Linked DNA regions of Caenorhabditis elegans. The main gene of each other region encodes a partner of the protein of the gene in region 3 in a complex. Each region holds a gene or a part of one and is shown on either strand. Other genes may lie near its edges. The genes, in order: smc-4, mix-1 and kle-2.

Region 1 (8,270 bases), 3.4 Mb from region 3:
TATTTTAAATTAACAAGAACGAAGACTTTTTAAATTGAAATATTCATAGTGAGAAATTCATCAGAAAGTATAAAAATATCGCAATTGAAATCGAATTGTAAATTGAGCAAGAATCATTGAAAAGGAAGAAGAAATAAAAGACCGGCGAGCACATGAAGATCAGAGCGAGATGAGAATAATATTTCCAATGTAATCAATACCCAACAATGACTTTCTCTCCACCTTCCGGATGCTGACAACGACCACGCATCATCTCGTAGACTTGTTGTTTGATCCATGCACGTGTACGACCAATGTATTGCCCGGTTTCCTGAAAATGAATTGATTTGGGAGGATATGCAGATCAATAATACATACGCGATTGAAGATCATCATAGAAACATCGGAGAGCTTATCGAGAAACTCGTAGACTTGCGACACGTCGTATGTGACTGGAGCAGCTGATTTCTTGGAAAGGAAATCTTCAAACATCTTGCAAAGAGCTGAAAAATTCCATTAAACATAATAATTCTCACGGAATGGTTACCATCAAGAGCGTCAGTTACACTCTCATAATCTCCCCAAGTCCGTGAATCAAGACGTGGTGATGTTTGAATCAGAAGTACGGTATGTGAAGAAGTAGACATATCTGAAATTACATGCATAACACGAGTTACAGTGAAAATCCACAAAATAAATAGTGAAAATGGAAATCTGAATCAGATTAACCATGAGGGATATACTAGTCAACGCTTCACCGATAAACGTTCTTATTTCAAACGAAAAGACACATAGCTCAATTATATCATTAAATTACAGTTTGGAGCCGAAAAAAAAATACAACGCAAAATGGCTCAAACTTTGGCCCTCAAATTAAATATAATTGAGAATAAGAATAAATAAAAAGGAAAAGGGAGAGATTTCTTGAACAGGGAGAGGTTAAAGAATTGCACATGAGTATCATTTGCGCGAGTTTAAAATAATAATAAACGGAAGAGTCGAGGGATCAGAGAACTAATACCCGTCAAAACAAAAGAGGATAGAACTTTTTTGAATGAATTATTCCATATCATCATCGTCATCAACGATTGCCTTCTCCTTCTTTTTACTCGACGGTGTCAACGGTTTCATTGGAGATCGTTTTGGTGTACTTGCGGAATTTGAACGCTTTGAAGGTGGAGTAGTCTGAAAATGGGAAATAAAATGAGTCTCAAATTTTTTAATGAAACTAACCTCATCGGCCTCTATGTTTCGTGCCTTTCTCGGGCTACGAACATTCTGTGACGACGATCTTTCGACAAGGCGTGGAGCAGGATATTTCATTTCTAAAAATAAGTTGTTTCATTTTCATAATAAATACGCCATTGGTCTTACGATTTATACGAGATTCGGGTCGACTTGCTGACCGACTAGCCGGTCTTTCAGTTCCATCGCCACTTGTCGTTGCTTTGGATTGTGGTCTTGAAGTGACATCTCGGGTAGTTTGAATCAATTCTTTCCTGACACGTCCTTCAACGTTAACAATCTTTTCGGCCTTTGAAATCTCATTTGATGATGGGAAGTTCGGATATTGTTTTTCTTGTGCAATCATTTCCTTATTCTGCCGACTCATTGTCTCATTGAATCGTTGAGTTACTTCATCAGGAAGAGTACACGTGGCCTGCCCCAAACTGTCCGTAATTTGCTTCGCCATCTCACAAACTCTCAATGGATCAATGGCTACATTACGAGTACACCCATCAACTTTATAGATACCAACGAGACGATTGGCGAGTTCAAACATATTATTTCTCAAAGAAATAATAATAAACTGCGCGTTTTCAGTCTTTTGTCGGACGTATTGGGCAATAATCGAAACGTTACGATAGTCGAGAGCAGCATCGATTTCGTCCATAACGTAGAATGGAGTAGGTCTAAACGAGGGATTATAATAATTATTAAAGAAAGTATTTAGTACCTGAACATGTGGAGCGCAAAAATGAGAGCCAATGAGGACAATGTCTTCTCTCCACCCGAAAGGAATTGAATTTGCTTCCAAGCTTTCTTCGCTGGGCGAACCATAAAACTGATTCCTTGTCGGAATGGATCGTCTTTATCAATGTATTCCAATTTGGCATCTCCTCCGTCAGTTAGCATTTTGAAAACGGCAACCAAATGTTTTCCAATGAATTCGAATGCAGACTGAAATATTTTTTAAAAATTAATCAGAAACCTATCAACGTCTGATTTCTTACATGGAATTCTTCAAGTCGCATCTGCTTGATTCGTTGAAGTTCTTGATTATGTTTTCGATGTACTTCTGTGGCTATTGTCAACTTGATCACTTGTTCATTGTATTGCTTGACCTTATCAACATAAGCTTTAATCGATGAGATATCAACTTTAGCTTTCAATGCTTCCACTTGTTGTTCACACACTTTCAGCTTCATTTGCATTTCTTCAGCGTCTCGGCTCGAAATCTCGTTGATTTTCTCGTCGGACAGAAGCTCGACCGGTACCCGGTCCTCTCCGTCGACATTCTCATACGATTCAGTGTTTTCCAACACTTTCTGTCGCATTTCGAACTCGAGAGCGTACGCGGCGTCACTCATCACGCAGGCCATATGCTTCTTTTGTCGTTCAACTTCTTCTGGACTCTGATTTTCATCAACCACCGGCATTTTATCATCGATTTGCATTTCGAGATCTTCTGGCCGACTTGATTCGATGAGAAATTGGAATCGTGGGATTCGATTAACTTTCAAAGCAGCGAGCTGTAAAAAAAGAACATTTAATTTAATAGATTTTTATTAATAACAAACCTTCTTTTCAATATCCTCAACCTTTAATCGATCTGCCAACATACTTTCCTTCAACTCCTTTATTCCCTCACTGCACTTTTTCAATTCTCCCTCCAATTTCGTCTCTGCAGCTGACAATTCCGATTGTTTCTTCGTCATTTCCTCTCCTTTTGTCTGTAACTTCTTGATTTGCTTTTCAAAGCGCTCAACCGTTTCTTTCTTCGATTTCACTTCCTCATCATCGATTGCTTTCTCCATCAATTCTTCGCACTTTTTCTTCATCTTCTCAATGTCTTTATCGTGTCTGGAAATGTTCTCATCGCACTTTGCAATGTTTCTGCCCGAATTGGAAATATTTGCAGTTTCTTTGGCGATATCCTTCTCAAGTTTTTGACGTTTCTGAAGAGACTCTTTGGCTTCGTCTCGATGACATTGTACAAGTTCCTTGAAGATTCCGTCAAGCTTACTCTGAATTTCAGCTTGACGAGCTTTTACTTTCGCAGCTTCTTCGCCCAACTCATCTCGTTCTGAAATGAAATATATTACCCAAATCATGATGATATGACGGAAAATTACTTTTTTCGAGCTCCTCAACAATCTTCTGTTTATCTTCTAATGTCTTCGCATCCACCTTAACTTTCGCTGCTTCTTTTTCTTGATTTGCGATCGTTTTCTTGAGGGTTTCAATTGCTGGAGCTGCAGATTGAACTGAAGAAGTCACAATAGACAAACGATTACTCATTTCAGCGACTTTGCGACGTGCTTCGATTAGCTGTCCGTCCATCTAAAAATCGGTTTGTTATATTTTATATTTTTATCCTTTAATATCTTACTTCATGCTCTTGTCCTTTAAGTTCATCAGCTTCATCTCTCAATTTTCCAAGTTTTTCAGCTAAATCTCGTTCAGCGGCTTTATCTTCAGGTGTCACTTGTTTAGCCATCTTATTTTTATCCGTGAGAATGAGACCTTTCACTGTTTTTCCACCTCCTGTGAATGATCCAGATGGGTGAATCATAGAACCTTCTAGTGTGCACACGGTAACACCACGACAAGCGGGCATTCTATGCATTCGCTGAGCTTCCTGGGTAGAATCGCCCACAATTGCACTACGCACCATATCATAGAATGCTGGTTTAAGAACAGGATCACAATCAATCAGATCAATAAGACGAGGAGCAGGTAATGGGTTCGTCGGATTGGGAGCTAAATCTCTCTTATCACACTTAATTTTGTCCAATGGCTGAACAGTTTGTCGAGGTAATTTATTCTGAAAACCAATGTATTCCTAGAAAATGAGGGTTATAAAACTTACAGCAACTAAAAAATTGATGACATTTTTTGCATCTTCTTCTTTCCCTACAATAAGATAGTTGAGACGGGCCCCGAAATTTGTGCAAATCGCTCCCTCATATTTCGGATCAATGACACCGAGATCACCAAGACGACCGTGAAAACTTTTAATTCTTCCAGCTTCTTTTTCCTTCATTAAGGCTTGAATAACTTTATTCGAACTTGAGCAAGACGAGTTTTGCTGGCGAAGAGTTTCGAGACGATCACGCGTTTTTGCCAACTGTAAAATAGGATTTATTTAAATTTATCAGGCTTTTTGAAAACCTACATCTTGATTCTTCTGTCTTGCCGTATTTCGAAGAGTTGGCAATTCTGTACTCAGTTGTTTTAACTTATCATTCCAAGAATCAAATTCCGGCTTCAGCTTATCTAACTCATCCTTCTCTTTCGCATAACTTTCTTCTGAAGATTCTAATCGTTTCTTCAGTTCGATAAGCTTATCCGTTCCAGAATTCGCGAGCTTCTTTAAATCCTCGAAATCTTCCCGTGCAATCCTTGCTTCACCTCGAACTTTGTTAAATTCGTTGCTCTTCTGCGCCCAAGTCTCTTGAATCTTCTTTTGTTCTTCTTTTGGCGCTTCAGAGCGTTTTTCAAATTCATCAAGATTCTTGTCGGCTTCCTCGTTAGCTGTTTTCTCTATTTCAAGCAACTGTTCCACTTCTTCCTGACATTTTGCGATTTTTCTCTCCGCCTTTTCGGGTGCTGCTTCCAGATTTGATCGCTTTTTAACCTCTTTTTCCTTCTCAGCTTCCGCCTTTGAAATATTAGCTTGATGCCTTTTCAAAGCCTCCTTCCTGCGAGTCTCTTCAGTGCCCAAGTCGCTCAATTCCTTAGATAGACTATCAAAGTTTTTGTCGAGTTTCGAACGCTCTTCAATCATAACTTTCTGAGCTTCCTCAGATTGTTTGTATTCGTTTTTGTTGGTATCCAGCGTTTCAGCAATCGATTTCATTTCTTCTTTCATCTTGTCAAGTTCGGCTTGTTTTGGAGCAATTTTATCTAGGTATCGTTGCCTTAAAACGTTAAATGTTATTTTAACCTGGAATATTTCAGAACTACCGTCTTCTTTGCTCCAATTTCATATGAATCGTTGTAGCCTCGTTTTCTTTCATCAGAAACTCAATTGCAGCTCTAACTGGATTCTCCATAGCTACTTTGCTGTTTCTGGCGTGATCACGAGCGATTCTTTGTTGAGAAAGATCACAAGTAAGACGATTGACGCGTCGCTGGAATAATTTAACAAAGGGCTCGAGTCGGTTTGTTCCGATAATATCCTCCAAATATTCAACCATTCCAGTTTCACTTTTGGTGGTTTTCACTGGTTTCATCATTGCAATTTGTTCGACTTCTCCCTGAAAAAAATGTTTATTACCGGTTTTATTGTCACTTTTACCTGAAGAATTAGAAAACGATTATGCTCAATATCAATGTCAACGCGTCGTAGGCGTGCTTCAACTTCATTCTTCGTTGCCGGTCGACCATCGATAGCATATGAGCTTGAGTTATTTTGAAAAGCAGTTCTAGAGATTGTGAACTCAGAATCCTTGACGACTTCGTAATGCCCAGGCTGAAAAAAAGCAAATTTATATTTTATTAGATTCTCTGATTCACTTACAATATCGACGATCCGCTGAAAATGAATAGTGACTGTGCATTTGTCTGGATTTCTTCCAGCACTTTTGTGAATCAAATTTGACACTTTTGCAGAACGAATTTTGGAAGCACGGAAACCGAAAACGAATAAGAGCGAATCGATTAAATTAGACTTTCCAGATCCATTTGGACCGATAATTGATGTGAAACTTTTGTGAAATGGTCCAATGGAAGCCTTGCCGAAGTAACTCTTGAAATTGTCCACTTCAACATTGCGAATCATCAAACGATCCGCCCGATTCGGTTTTGTAAGGAAATCGGGTCGCGATGGCAGTTGCTGTAAAATGTAATGACTTTAATATTAAAAACAGAGTAACATACCAATGAGAAAAGATCACTGTCGTCGTCCTCTCCGTCGCTTCCATCAAATTTTTCATTTACCGCTCTCTGAATAAAAATTTCAGTTTTATTGCTGCTTTTAAATATTCTGAGAGGGATACCTGTAGTTCTTCTTCCGGGTCCTTTGATCCTTCCTTGTGTCGGTTCACAGGCTTCGTTGTCTTTTTCTGCGGCTTTTTAACAGGAGCGTCATCAAAATCAGAATCAGATTCGTCTGATTGTGGCGGCGCCGCCGAAGTCTTCGGAGGCATCAACCCTAAAATACGTTGATTTTTAGGATTTGAGTGCTTAATATGAAAAAGACATTTCCCAACAAAAACAAAAAGTGGGACAGCAGCGGCTAAACAATTATTGGCGGTGAAATTCGAACAAAATTTTGGCGCGCATACAAGTGTGTGCAAACACCGTGACGCGCAAGTGCGACCCATACATTTAATTATACGACGAGAGCTAGAATGAAGTACGGTAATTAATTAAACATTTCTGAATTGCTTCAACATAAAATAAGTTTTCAAATAAAAATGACAACACCCGCTGTAAAAATGGTTGTCGCGTATGTGACAGCTCCGAGTAAGGAAGTTGCAATGACTGTGGCAAGGTATTTTTTTGTTTTCTGTCTACCAAAACATAATTTCATTTCAGAACAACTGTCACTGAAGCATTAGCCGCTTGCGCCAATGTTATTCCGGAAGTCACATCTGTGTAAGTATTTTATCTTTTTTAAATCTGTGCGAGAATCCAGATATTCAGATACAAATGGCAAGGAAAAATTGAAGAAGATCAAGAGCATGTCGTGATCTTGAAAACTGTAGAAAGCAAAGTCGAAGAGCTATCAGCTGTATGTTTTTATTTCGGATCACTAAGATTTTCATTCAATTTCAGCGTGTTCGATCTCTTCATCCGGCTGAAACTCCGTGCTTCTTCACACTGGCCATTGACAAAATAACTCCCGATTTTGGAGGATGGATTGTGGATTCTACGAATTCTTCAACTGCGAAACATTGAAACTTAAAACTTTATTCATATTTATTTCTACCAACTAAACATTAAATCAACGGGAACTGATAAATACATACAAACAGATTTGGCTAAGGAAAAAAACATCGTAATAAGAAAAAATGCTCCGAAAATTTGAAGATTCCAAAATAACGATTTGAGCATGCTTTTTTGGGGATTGTCTTGAAAGCTTCAAATTTTTTTTTCGAGCGATTCTGATGTGATTTAATGAATTTTTTTCAAAGAGATCGAGTTGAACGGGAAAGACAGGGCTATCATTAACTAGCTAGCGAGCATCACTTCGAACTCCAACAGCTTTGTCTACAATGTTAAGCGAGAAGACCATCGGGACAGCAATCTTGTATGCATGGCGTTTGTATGTATGATAATCATATTCCGTCCAAAATAACTGAAAAACATTGAAATGTTTTCTCATATATGTTCAATCATTCTTACTTTTTGCTCCTGAATAATTATCTCAAAGATCCTATCCATGCTTTTCTTTTCGTTATTGTATTGTGTCTCCCATCCCGGAAAGTCTTCACACATGAACTGAAAATTCGAAGTTGAAAAGAAATCCACTAAAAAAACTCTCACTTTGTGGATGCTGTATGTAGATTCTGAAGCGGACTTTGAACTAACATATTGATAGATCATAGAAAACTCACAGTCTCCAATTTCATGGAAACCGAGAAATTTAATTACTTGGTTGACCTTCACCTTAAAAATATTGATTTACTTTCTTGACCAATCAAAATATAATAGCTTACTCTGTTCATATTCTCAGAATCCGAGGGCATTATCAAGTTGAACTTCACGTAAAGGCTCTCTTCATTCAACAGCGACAAGAGTGTAAATGAATGATGGTTCTGTATCCAGGACCTTGGGATCACTTTCTAAACGTACTAAATTTCTCCCTTGTTTAACAATAAGATTAAATTATTACCTGAACCTCTTCCTCAAAATCAGTGTAATTAAACCCATCTGGATTTTTCTGATCAAGTTTCTGCAGCACGTACATGGTTTGCGGAAAAAATCTCAAATTTTTTGCCCACCAAATTTCAGCGAGTCGTCTTGCTTCCCTACAGAAAACCGAATAATAAAATGCATAAGGTGCTTGATAAAATACTTTTTCAAACTAGCATCTGTTGAAGGTTTCGTTGACACTGCTG
Region 2 (5,135 bases), on a different chromosome or scaffold from region 3:
TCAAAATTTAAAAAAAATTATTTTTTTCAGCTAAGATCTTGAATTTTGCCAACTTTTCAGTGTAGTAACGGCCGGAATTTGGTTTTAAATAGCCACAATTTATTGCATATTGTGATAGTTTATCACGCAATTTTCCTAAATTTTGGTGCTTTTTCAGTTGATTATGCCGAAACTCTCGAAAAAAAATTCGCGAAATTTGAAATTTTAGCTGAAAAAAAGCATTAATTTTTGAAAAACAACTGTTTTAAAATTAAAAAAAGTTTTCTCAAAATTCCGAAAGAAAACTATTTTTTAAAGCTAATATCTCGAATTTTACCAACTTTTCAGTGTCATAACGGCCGGAACTTGGTTCGTAGTAAATTATCACTCTTTATTGCACGTTTTTTCGTTAATGTTGATGGCTTTTCGGTCGATTTCACCAAAAATGTGCAGAAAATGCACCTGAATTCACGAAAAAAAAACGCATAATATACTACAAAAATATATGTTTTTTTTTTTTCATATTTAAATATGCAATAAAAAGGCGATAATTGAATAAAAACCAAGTTCCGCTCGCTGCGATACTGAAAAATTGACAAAATTCGGGTTTTATTATGAAAATAGGTTTTTTTTTTTAAATTTTGAAACGGTATAACTCTTTTAAAATGAATTTTCACACAAAACCTTACTTGTATGAATTCAGAAGTCTCGTATCCATATCCTTGAGCTTAGTGATGCTCTCATGCAATTTTGCAGCGTGTTCTCGTTTCTCCGTATCAGCATCTATATTGAAACCCAATAATTGAAGTTGCTTATTGATCTCATCGACCTGAATATTTTTAAGTTTTCGGAGAAAAAAAAATTGAAATATCTGATACCTCTTTTTGATAATTATCGGCACTTCCAATGTCAGATTTACTTCTGGCTGAGAGAGTAGCTTTTTCGCCTTCCAAATGTTTAATTTGGTTGTGTAGACGTTCACCGCTGAAATAAATTGCCAATTTTTCAATGATATTCCTATTTAAAAAAGTACATTTCTTCTTTTGTCCCATTAAATTTACTGAATTTCCAAATTAATGCATTATTTTTTCGATGTTGTGTTTTCTTTCAATTTTTGCAATTTTTCAATGAAATTACATCGTTTGTAGTCAATTTTTTATCGTTTTATGTTAATTTTTCTGTTTAAAAATTGTTTAAAACCAGTTTTCAATGTAAAAATAGTATAAAACTGGTTTAAAATTTTTTAAACAGAAAACTGAAGAGAAAACGACAGAATAATTTCATTGAAAGTATCCGCAAAAAAACTATCATTGACGTTTTCAAAAAGCGAAAAAACGAAACTTTTTGTTTTTCGATTTTTCTTAAAATATCTCAAAATTTTTGTCATTATTCTTATCGACATAAACAAAATTAGATTTTTTGTTCCAATTCTCAGGAAAGTTACCGTTTCTTCGCAGCAGTAATCCCAGATGACATTTGAGACGCAGTCGACTTGCAAGACTGTATTTCACTCTCAATCGACACATGTTCTCCTTTGTCATTAGCAATTGTTCCTCTCGTTAGGGATTCGAGGTCATTACGGTATTTTGTGACGAGCTGAAATTGTTTTTTTTTAACTTTATTTTTAGAATAATTTCTCGAACTTACAGCTTCATCATCAGATTGACTTTGAATATCTTTCGAGTTAGCCGCCTTTGAATCTTCGTGTTCTTTTCGTTTTGCGTCGAGAACTTCACGATCTTTTGACAAGCTTTTGTTGATTTGTTCACCTTCCTTTTTGAGTTTATTGATTGTTTCAACCAATTGATTTTTGACAGTCTCCTTCTGAAGCATTATAGATTGTTTCGAAAGATGAGCCGCTGAAAGTGCAGCCTCTTCATGTTGATCATCTCGAGATTCTTCCATCTTTTTCTTCTCATCTTCCTTATTCTTCAAGTCAAGATCAAGCTGATTAAACTTTTCACCGAGATCTTCAATTCCCTTTTTGGCATCTTCAATCTCTTTTGCACTTTTTTTCACCGCTTCACATGTTTGAAAGTATTGAAACGCCTCGTATTTTCGGGAAAAGTTCTCTTTGAGTTTCTTGAGACGAGTCACTTCCACCATATTCTTTCTGTCTTCACGGAACTTTACCATTCTCGGATCAATACTTGATTGGAAGATTCTATCAACTTCTTTGAGTTTTGCATCTTTTAAAAACATTGTTTTCTCCGCGTCTTTCTTCTTCTGATCATACATCTTTGTTCCAGCTGCTTCCTCAACCATTCCGAGGATTTCCTCCGGCTTCATGTTTAGCACCGTAGTAATACGACCTTGCATGATGAGAAAATGTGGATTATTCACGTTCAAACCGACGCCACGGAAGAAATCTTGCATTTTTCCATTTGTGGCCGCATGCCCATTCAGTGTGTAACTCGTTGCACATCCTTTTCCAGTTGCTTGAGCTGTGATGATTCTCTGAACGACGATCTCGTCGAGATGTTCCATTCCGAACGGGGAGCATCTTTTATCAGTGTTGTCGAAGCGAACTTGGACGATCGCTTTTGTTCCACCATGGGAAATCAGCTCGTGCATTGATTCTGGAATGATATTTGACTTAATTTTTTTTTCTAAATTTCAATTTAAAAAATCTTTGCTAGAAATATTATGCTACTCTGATCTTGTGCTTTTTCAGTCCGAAAGCGCGTAAGTATCACTATGACAACAAAATAATTTTGTGATGAGAAAGAGCCACATACTTGCTCTGATATTATCGAGCTTATTGATTCCCATAATGAAGCAGATCGAATCGAGAATATTGGATTTTCCACTACCATTGTATCCTGAAATAAAACAATTATTATACTATATTTTATGCTGAAATTAAAGTTTTTCAAACTATTAGTTTTCAGCACAAAACTATACTCACCGGTGATTGCGTTGAAAGTCGGCGAAAAATCGAGAATATCGGTGTGCTTTTGGTACGATTTAAAGCCATCCAGATGGATGGATTTAATGTGCATTATGAGCGCACCCTGTCGAATTGATTTTGAACAAAAATAAGTTATAAGTCGATAACGAGTTTGAGAAAATGTTTATTTCGAAAGCCGAATGAGCTTTGAATGTTTTTTGGCGCGTCTTTTGAGAAGTGTGCAGAGTGGCGTGAGAGTGTTTGCGGACTGGAATGTATGAGATTTGACGCGCAAAAGTTGCCTTGTGATTTTTGTAATTTTTTTCTCCTTTGTTTTTTCTCCTTCGCTATAATTTAGAGTCATTTATTAATTTTTATTTTTTAATTTTTATTAAACAACGAAAATCGTTGCAGATATGGATTCCGAAAAAGAAAATCCTGCTAGCCCAACAACAGGCCGTGAAGAAGAAATTCCTGGGTAAGAATAAAAATCACATTTTCTTTCAAATTAATAAATGGAATTTCCAGATCCTCCCCAGAAGGTGTATATCCTGCCGATGAAGATCATATTTTCCACGAGGATCAGGCCCCACTTCGAGTTGAAAGTGCTAAGCATGAAGAAGAAATTGTTGAGCAGCAGCAGCAGCAGCCGGAAGATCTTGAACAAGGAGATATGATTGTGGAGGATGGTGATCAACAGTTTATGGTATTTCAAGCTTTTCGATGAATTGAAAGAATATTTATATTTCAGAATATGGTTCAAATCACGCAGGAAGACATGTACGAAGCGGGTTTCGATGTAGAAGCAGGCTTTGAGCTTAATCATCTCACCGAAGAGCAGCTGAACATTGTGGTGGCGATTAGTCAACAACGACAGGCGAAACAAAACGAGCAAGAGCACAATGAAGAAGTTGTCATAGAAGATGGTTCACATCATCACATGGTTCATCACGAAATGATTGAAAATCAATTTGAAGGTGATGGAAATGGGCCGGAGGAAGAATATGATGGGAATGGTCAGATAATCGATAATGCAATGCATATTATTCTGACAAATGATGGTGGAGTCAATATTACATCAAAACAGAAGCAATTCTATGTTTCCCCCTCCGAAATCGCCAATTTGAACATTGATTTAAACAATTTAAGCACTGAAAATGTCCATCAACTTGTGCAACTTGCTCTACCGCCCATGTAGGTCAACACGTAGAATTTTAACTATATTTTTATTATTTTTAGAAAAGAAAAAGCTCAAGATTCTGCATACAACGATCAGGCTCCATCAACAAGTTATCACCATCATCATCATGAACAGTTGGAAGCTGGAAGTGAGTTTCAGAAGCTTATTTGAACTAATTTTAATTATCCAAATTATTTTAGAATCTACAAGAAGCCCAATAATTGGAGAAACCGTTCAAATTCGGACAGCTGATGGTCGTCTTCAAGATGCGGTTGTCAAATATGTTCGAGGCGATTCGGAGTACAAGGTGAGAAACTCTTTACTTTTTCTGTTTAATTAGGCAAGATAAGCTCTGTTTTGATCCGATAAAATGTAATTATTTTCAACTTTTGGATCAAAACAGAGCTTTTCTAGAAAAAACGAAGAAAAATGCTCATAAAACTTCTATAAAGTATATTTTTTAAAGCTTTGAAATTTCAGATCCAATTAATGAATGGAGAATTCGCGTACGCCACCATCGACCAGATGCTCGTACCCCAGCGAGACCGAAGTGATCACGAGTATCAACAAGTTGCTCCGCCCGTCTTGCTCCGGAGGACGGATATGGCTTCAGTTCGAAATGCTGCTCAAAAGCGATCAGCCAACGATGATCTGTGCCCTCCAGTTCTGAAAAAGTCGTATCAGTTGGCTCCTGTCGTCGACGGACCACATCTAGTACATACTCCGAACTTTTGTTGCCCGATTTGTGATAAGAAGGTCTACCAGAAGGAGCCATCGTACATTGTTATTCGGCTACCAGCTTGTGATTCATGTACTCGTGAGAAGATTATAGTTCTTGATGAGCAAAGCAGTTGATATTCTTCATTTTTACTCGAAATTTATGGATTCATTTATTTATATGTTGCTAAAATTCTATTGTTGTAAATTAATCATTTAATTTTGTTTTTGCACATGTTCAATCAAATACACATAATTCTTTTTAGATACATAAAAAATCTACAAAAAAGGTAAAACTTAAGAGGGCACAAAACAATTACTTCTTTGCTCCTTTTGTCATAAATGCTGCAATCGCTTGGTGACACTCCT
Region 3 (6,592 bases):
AAAGTGTTATATATAAAAACAATAAACATGGTTTAAGACTAATGCAATGGCAATTATTTACCATTAGTTTCCTTCTATCCTAATTTTGGAAGTCGTCCAAAAAATGATTGTTTTATACGAGTTCTAAATTTCACTTTCCGAAATGCTCGAAATTACTAAAAGCACATTATTCGAAATTTGCCAATTTACCAGAACTTTAACTAAAACTTTTAAAATAAAAAAAAAGATCTGCACGTCTCTACAGTTGTTTTGAAGGCGCAGCGATACCAATACCTTTAAAAATGGAAGGAAACATACATAGTTTCTAATCCCCTTTTTGAACTTCCTCTAATATAAAAAATCAGTTATTCGCTCCGCCCATTTTTCAACCAATCAGATGAGTGTTTGGAGTCCAAAACTCTGATTGGTTTGAGAGTGGGCGTGGCTATTCATTTTGGAGGAAATTCAAATATGATCTTGAATTTTTCTATTTTCTAAACTATTTTGTTTTAAATAAGCAATTCAGGTAGCCCATGCAGTTCCATTGCTCTTCGCCGTCATGCGAGACCGAACTTTGAAAGATGAAAAGCAGCGAAAAGTTTTTGAAGTTTTGAAACAAGCTGAAAATCTCTTGGCCAATGATTTTTATGCTGGTGAGTTCAATTAATCGATACAATTTTTTGACCAAATTCAAACTATTCAGGATCTCAACCAGGTTATCCAGACTACTTATCATTTCCATTTTTTGAGAAAATTTGGTGGTCAGCTAGTTTGGATGGAGTTGTCGATTTACCAACAATTGAATTCCCAGGAGAAGAAGAATATCCTAAATTGACAAAATGGTTCCAGAAAATGATTTCTTCAGATGTTGTTCAATCCGTCACCCAATCTTTGGAACATGGCGCTGCATTCATGAACGCATATGCCACGCACCAGGAATTGAATTATGATTTGGGCCTTTGATATTAAAACCAGTCGATTTATTTTTAAGATTGAATAAAAAATGAAGGACGTAATTAAAAAACAATCAAAGAAATAGTGGTAATTCGTCGGAAAAAAAGTTATTGTACAGTCAGTAAAGTACCATAACGAACAGAAGAAAAATACTTGGCATCTAGAAGTTAATTAATTGATACAGTAAAATGAAAGTATAGCCAGAAATCGAGATACAAGTAGAGACAATGAGGAATGTTTAAATAAATTAAGATGGTTTTCGGGAGATTTAATGCAAAAAAAACAATAATTATAAATTAGGCATCAAGAGCGCCAGCCTCCTTGAACATTTCACAATGCATATCTCTTTTGAGTAGTGTGATTTTCATCGAGTTGATTCTTTCCTCGAGTGGCAGTTCCATGTCCTCGCTGACCATGACATTTCCGACATTACACATAAAGAGGCACGAAAGGAAGTATCGACTGATTTCGTACCATGGACGATCCATAACCAAATCTAGTAAACGTTTCGTGCCACCTTCAATATCGTATTGGCCAATGACAGCACGACCAACTGCGTGAACCTGAAAATTATTATAATTGAGAAATTCAAACATTTAGACATTTTGACTTTTCAAATTACTGTGGTTGACCAGAATATTAAAGGTGGAGTAGCGCCAGTGGGGAAATTGTTAAAAACCACTCCTTTGGTTCCAAAATGACCAAATATCATGATAAAACTTTTGAAAATTTTTTTATTTACTGTCAAAAACTGGCAATTACTCAGTTTTTGCCACTCATATGTTTGGAAGTCGACCAAAAAAATTTATTACATTTTTTATTGTTTTAATTTTGTTTAAATTAATTGTATTAAAACATTGTAGGGGTCGAAACATACGACATTTCTTTAAATAACCTCAAAAGCTCATATTTTTCAAAATTTTGGCAATTTGCCAAAACTTTGACCGGAAATTATGAAAAATCTAAAACTTTTTGGAGTGTTTTATTATGATATTCGGTTGTTTTGAATCACTATAAGTGTATTTAGACAAAATCCCCACTGGCACTACTCCACCTTTAAGATTAAATACTCTAAAACATACATCATACTCTTTTCGAGTTTCTCCTTCTTCGAGGATTGGTTCCATTCGAGAATGCCATTTGTCAACATGTTCTTGTAGAGTTGACACGGCAACATCCACATCTTCATATGCTTTAGCCATCTCGTAAGCCATTTGTTCGCGATCTGTTCGATTTTCAGCAAACTTCTTGAGCAATGGTAAAGCTTCTGTAAATAGAAAATTTACTTGATAGACTTGAGAGAGTACAATTTCAAAGTATTAATTTTAAAATTTTATTATAAAATTTTGCAAATAACTTACTGTCGATGAGCAAATTTCCAGGTAAATTGATAACACTGTTCAGTTCGGCATCATCAATATCCTCGAATCTTAATGGAACATATTCAGCAGGCGGAATATCAAAATCTGTTTGAAGAGCATCGAATTCTAGGTTGTTTGGAGCCATAGGAGGCCGTTCACCACGTGGCCGCACGTCTTCTTCGTCGTCATCGAACCCACCTCCAAACATTGAGAGCTCGACTTCGGCAGCAAGATCTTCATCGACTACGTCGTCATCTGGAAAAAATATAATTCAGTTTAAATTTCATAAAATTGAAATTTCTTACATTCAGCTCCGAGGGTTCTTCTATTAGACGTTGGAATATCCTCTGTTACCGGTTCAAATTGCTCCACGGGTATCACACGAGCTGTCCGTTTTCTCTGCATATTCTGGATACGAGCTTCTCGGATTTTTGCAGTCTTTTCCTTGATTCTTCGTTTCTTCTCGGCTAGAATAGCAGTACGAAGTGATTCTATCTTCCAGTCCTTAATCGGATTTATACGAGCCGCACTTCTCCAATAGTAGTAATCCTGCAGATAGTCGTGAGTTTCCATGAACTCGTCTCGTCGAGACTTATTGATCTTTTCCTCACGTCGTTGCTTCCTAGCCAACATTTCAGCGGGTTTTGGTTGGAATTTCGTGATCTTTTTTACCGGCTTGCTAACGACTGAAATATATCATTTACTATATATAAAGCGCTTATTCCGTTTGTCCATAGCTTGTAGTCTATGTAGTCTTTGTAGTCTGCGAAGTTTTAGCTTCTGGAGGGATAGTGAGTTGGGGTTAGTGTAGGGATATAGTCGGGGTACTGTAGTGGTACAATGGTGGTACGGTAGGAGTACTGTATGATTACGGTAGGAGTACTGTATGATTACGGTAGTTTCAGAAAAATTGGTTTTCAGCTCCAGAAGTCGGGGGCCGCGCCGGAGGTGCGGTCCACGGCTCATATATATATATAATCTAAAAAATACCGAAAGAATCCCATTAATTCAACAAATACCTGGCAGATTCTCGTCTCCCGTGTACCAAATAATATGATTTTTATCCAGCTCGTCCCATGGTGCCGGTGCTCGCTTCTCATCCCTTCTGGACAAATTTCGAATATAATCATCGTCGTCATCGTCTCCTCCACCACCAAAATCATCATCAAAGTCCATGGGCGCGTAATTCTCATCAGGTCTTCTACTAGTGTTTGGTTCATCGTTTTGCATAACAGATCCAAAGTTATCAACGAACATATCAACTAAGCCAGTGGTAAGATGAGTGCTCGGGCGATTCTTATTAACTCTTCCCTCCACAAATGACAAGAAATCATTCAAATGATTACTCTGTCGATGTCGTTCAACAAATGGTTGTGAGAGACGAGTTGGTTGAGATCCAAAGCCTTGAGAATCTCGAAGAGTTTTAGCTGCAATTGTGATGGCTCTCGATGTGGCACGAGATTGAATTTCTTGATTTTGACGAACTGCTTCTTGCTCTATGAACCAACGAGGAGGTGGAACAACTTCACGGCCAGAGAGAGGATCCTGAAGAAATCAAGTTTTGAAAATGTTTCATCGAATTATTACCACTTACCTTAAACGGTCCATATGCACTGATCTTCTCATGCTCTTGCTCCAAATCTAACTCAACTTCCAAATCAGCAACACCAAAATTAGCTGCCAATTCCTTATTATCTGGCATCCAACGAGCACCAGGTAGTGTGAATTGGTCTAAATTTCCACGATAACAATCATGGGAGTAGAGTATTTGTTGATCGTGTTTAACTTTCGACTTTTTAATTTCAAAATCTTTTACTTTTCCGATAACATCAGGACGAGATTTTGCATTCAAAATTTGTTCATCAGTACGATTGAGCTGGCCGTAATTGAGCTTGAACATGAACTGGGTTGGCTTTGCTACTAAACAGCTTTTTCGCTCATATTGAGACTCTATAACTTCAGCATTCTCGACCATTCTCACTGCATCAATCGATTTTTTCTCTTCTTTTACTGTCTTCTCAAAATTTGCTAGAGCTTCCTGTTTCAGTGAGTCGATATCAGCCAAGTCGTAATTCGTCGATCCCAAATTAAAATTTTTCCGTCTTCCAGCTCCTCGTCTACTGCCGGTGTTTCCATCATCTTGACCTTTGTTCTCGACTAAATCCACAACTGAAATCGTCAGTTCATAGACATGATCTACTTTTCGACCATATACGGCACACGATCCTTGAATAATCCGGCATGCTCGTTGAAAATCGAACAATCTGTAAGTTGTCGCTGCATCCACCTGATTATCTGTGTCTTCACTTTCTTGTCTGATAACCTCGAGGTATCCGGCGAGTGCCTGAAAGTCGAGCAATTATTTATTTTATTTACCGAAAAAGAAAAGATACAACCGTGAAAAAAAATTATCCTTACTTTCAACACGTCGATTGAGAAGTTCTCGACAAGATCTTTTGCGGGTGTGACGAGCCATGCTAAATCTGTCGATTCTTGACCTGGAGGAGCATTCCTAGTCATTTGTACCTGAAACAACAATTCCAATGCTCTGGCGATGATTAACTATAAAAAAGATATAGAATGGTACGAAAACCATAAGGAAGTTATAAAAAACCTGAATAGTATTTTAAAAACGAAGTATTTTATTTTGATTGAAAAGAAAACAGGAATCTAATCTATTCGAGAAAGAAATAACAATTTTAAGTATTTTAAAGTTTCTTTTGTTCTGGAAGTTTCAATCCAACAATAGCAGCAGCCTCTTCAACACTCTTCTCGCCACCCTTATATCTCTCTTGAAGTTCATTAAGCTGTCGGGTTCTAAAATGAATGGATATTGATTATTACTTTCTTATTCTCATAAAACAAACGAACCCTTTAATATAGCTCAAATAGAGTTTTGCAACGCTCTCTGACTCGTTCTCGGCTTTTGAATATCTTCTTGTTGTAACCTGGTCGGCTTTCATTTGCTCCATGAGGTATTTATATTGTGCCGAATTCGGGGAGAATGTTTTGTCGACCTTTTTCAGTTCCGAAATGATGTTTTTGATGGTGTTGAAAGCGGTCACTCCTTTTCCAACAGCAGAGGCCATACTTTAATTTTGAAAATGTACAAAAAAGGGATAATAAATAGCACAATAACACAATTCAGACAAAAAAAGAAAACAGGAAAACGTTCTCAATTCAAACTGCGCGCGTGAGGCGCGCGTTGTTTAGCGAAACGCGGAGCATCGTTGCGGTACCATTTGCGCGGAAGTTTGAATCTAGTTTTTTGTGGCAATTGATTTTGACATTTTCCAATAATGTGGTAAATTATAAAATGGTACATTTATTTTAATAGAAACATGCCCAAGCAATATTAAATACTTTTTGAATGTAATTAATCAGCCTCAGTGAAAATAATCTGTTGAAATATTATCCCATTCGGAGATGCCAAAATTTCCAGTGCCAATCACGAATAAAGTGTCATTATTTGTCTGAAAACATTATATTTGAAATTCAATTGATTATTTTAATAACCTTATTTAATTGTTCTTCTGGAATTTCCACTGAAGTCATCACATGATGATTTCCGAATTTTATGAAGAGATGCGAGTCCAGTAAATGAATTGAGAATTTATAAAACTTTCCAAATTCTACTTTTCTTCGTGCTTTGAATTCAGCAATTATTGAACGGTCAACGAAATCGGAAAATATAGTTACTTTTTTATTTGAAAATTCAATCTCAACAAATATTCCACGACAGTTTATTACTTCTATGTCACATCCTGAAAATGTAATAGATTTTAATATGAATCACAACACTAATTACATACCACTACAATTACTCCTTATACCTAGAATGATGGATTTAGCTGTTGAGTGTTTTGGAATATTGACCTCGGCGTTTAGAATACTATTCTTCTTTCGATACCTAAATGGAAGGAATACCGTATACCGTATTTCCTCTATTAGTTTTGCACCCCTTTGCTCAACTTTGACACCTCATATCTCCTTTTTGGACATATAAATAATTAACAAACTACAAACTACAGAAAAAACATCTATCTAAATTTTTATCAGTTGACAACTTTTCTATAGAACAAACTACTACTGAGATATGAGCTGCCAAAGTTGAGAAAAGAGGTGTAAAAATATTAGAGGGAATACGGTATACTGTAGTTCCTCATAGGTCAAAGTCATCAATTCTTACGCCATAACTGCATATGGAGTTCGAATGTGTGAGGTGCACCAACTAATTGATGGGCGTGTCACTTTCTGTACCGCCCGTCCATTTCGTACCACCCATGATCCTTTTTGTG

The links.
Region 1: kle-2 (region 3) and smc-4 share a complex: the UniProt entries of both Caenorhabditis elegans proteins name them as parts of the condensin II complex.
Region 2: kle-2 (region 3) and mix-1 share a complex: the UniProt entries of both Caenorhabditis elegans proteins name them as parts of the condensin II complex.

The regions. Positions count from the first base shown.
Region 1 is NC_003281.10:4,585,589-4,593,858, reverse strand, and holds smc-4 (Structural maintenance of chromosomes protein 4), read right to left. Parts: upstream 6,359-8,270; 5' UTR 6,354-6,358; coding exon 6,204-6,353; intron 6,151-6,203; coding exon 6,085-6,150; intron 6,041-6,084; coding exon 5,726-6,040; intron 5,678-5,725; coding exon 5,504-5,677; intron 5,463-5,503; coding exon 5,170-5,462; intron 5,124-5,169; coding exon 4,379-5,123; intron 4,331-4,378; coding exon 4,073-4,330; intron 4,028-4,072; coding exon 3,593-4,027; intron 3,544-3,592; coding exon 3,336-3,543; intron 3,287-3,335; coding exon 2,781-3,286; intron 2,733-2,780; coding exon 2,214-2,732; intron 2,161-2,213; coding exon 1,937-2,160; intron 1,893-1,936; coding exon 1,354-1,892; intron 1,305-1,353; coding exon 1,213-1,304; intron 1,165-1,212; coding exon 1,039-1,164; 3' UTR 735-1,038; downstream 1-734. Other genes in the region: erh-2 (Enhancer of rudimentary homolog 2), read right to left, coding at 194-310, 358-482, 527-626; F35G12.7 (Divalent-cation tolerance protein CutA), read left to right, coding at 6,624-6,700, 6,745-6,804, 6,853-6,940, 6,985-7,107; F35G12.5 (SPK domain-containing protein), read right to left, coding at 7,385-7,507, 7,555-7,650, 7,696-7,818, 7,869-7,994, 8,045-8,180, 8,228-8,270. UniProt on the Caenorhabditis elegans protein: Central component of the condensin I complex, a complex required for conversion of interphase chromatin into mitotic-like condense chromosomes. The condensin I complex introduces positive supercoils into relaxed DNA in the presence of type I topoisomerases.
Region 2 is NC_003280.10:10,822,230-10,827,364, reverse strand, and holds the start of mix-1 (Mitotic chromosome and X-chromosome-associated protein mix-1), read right to left. Parts: upstream 3,120-5,135; 5' UTR 2,982-3,119; coding exon 2,888-2,981; intron 2,802-2,887; coding exon 2,718-2,801; intron 2,559-2,717; coding exon 1,627-2,558; intron 1,576-1,626; coding exon 1,424-1,575; intron 964-1,423; coding exon 858-963; intron 809-857; coding exon 669-808; intron 1-668. Other genes in the region: R06F6.12 (uncharacterized protein), read left to right, coding at 3,286-3,347, 3,398-3,575, 3,621-4,063, 4,109-4,197, 4,250-4,356, 4,530-4,904; ech-4 (Delta(3),Delta(2)-enoyl-CoA isomerase), read right to left, coding at 5,083-5,135. UniProt on the Caenorhabditis elegans protein: Essential protein required for both chromosome condensation and segregation and X-chromosome dosage compensation depending on its binding partners.
Region 3 is NC_003281.10:7,939,945-7,946,536, reverse strand, and holds kle-2 (Condensin-2 complex subunit kle-2), read right to left. Parts: upstream 4,821-6,592; 5' UTR 4,815-4,820; coding exon 4,713-4,814; intron 4,639-4,712; coding exon 3,889-4,638; intron 3,840-3,888; coding exon 3,314-3,839; intron 2,981-3,313; coding exon 2,600-2,980; intron 2,550-2,599; coding exon 2,295-2,549; intron 2,201-2,294; coding exon 2,016-2,200; intron 1,497-2,015; coding exon 1,230-1,496; 3' UTR 944-1,229; downstream 1-943. Other genes in the region: gsto-1 (Glutathione transferase omega-1), read left to right, coding at 506-632, 683-942; C29E4.12 (Protein FMC1 homolog), read right to left, coding at 5,003-5,111, 5,166-5,383; C29E4.10 (Putative galactocerebrosidase), read right to left, coding at 5,681-5,767, 5,811-6,058, 6,107-6,204, 6,484-6,592. UniProt on the Caenorhabditis elegans protein: Regulatory subunit of the condensin II complex, a complex that seems to play a role in prophase chromosome condensation and in chromosome segregation in mitosis and in meiosis.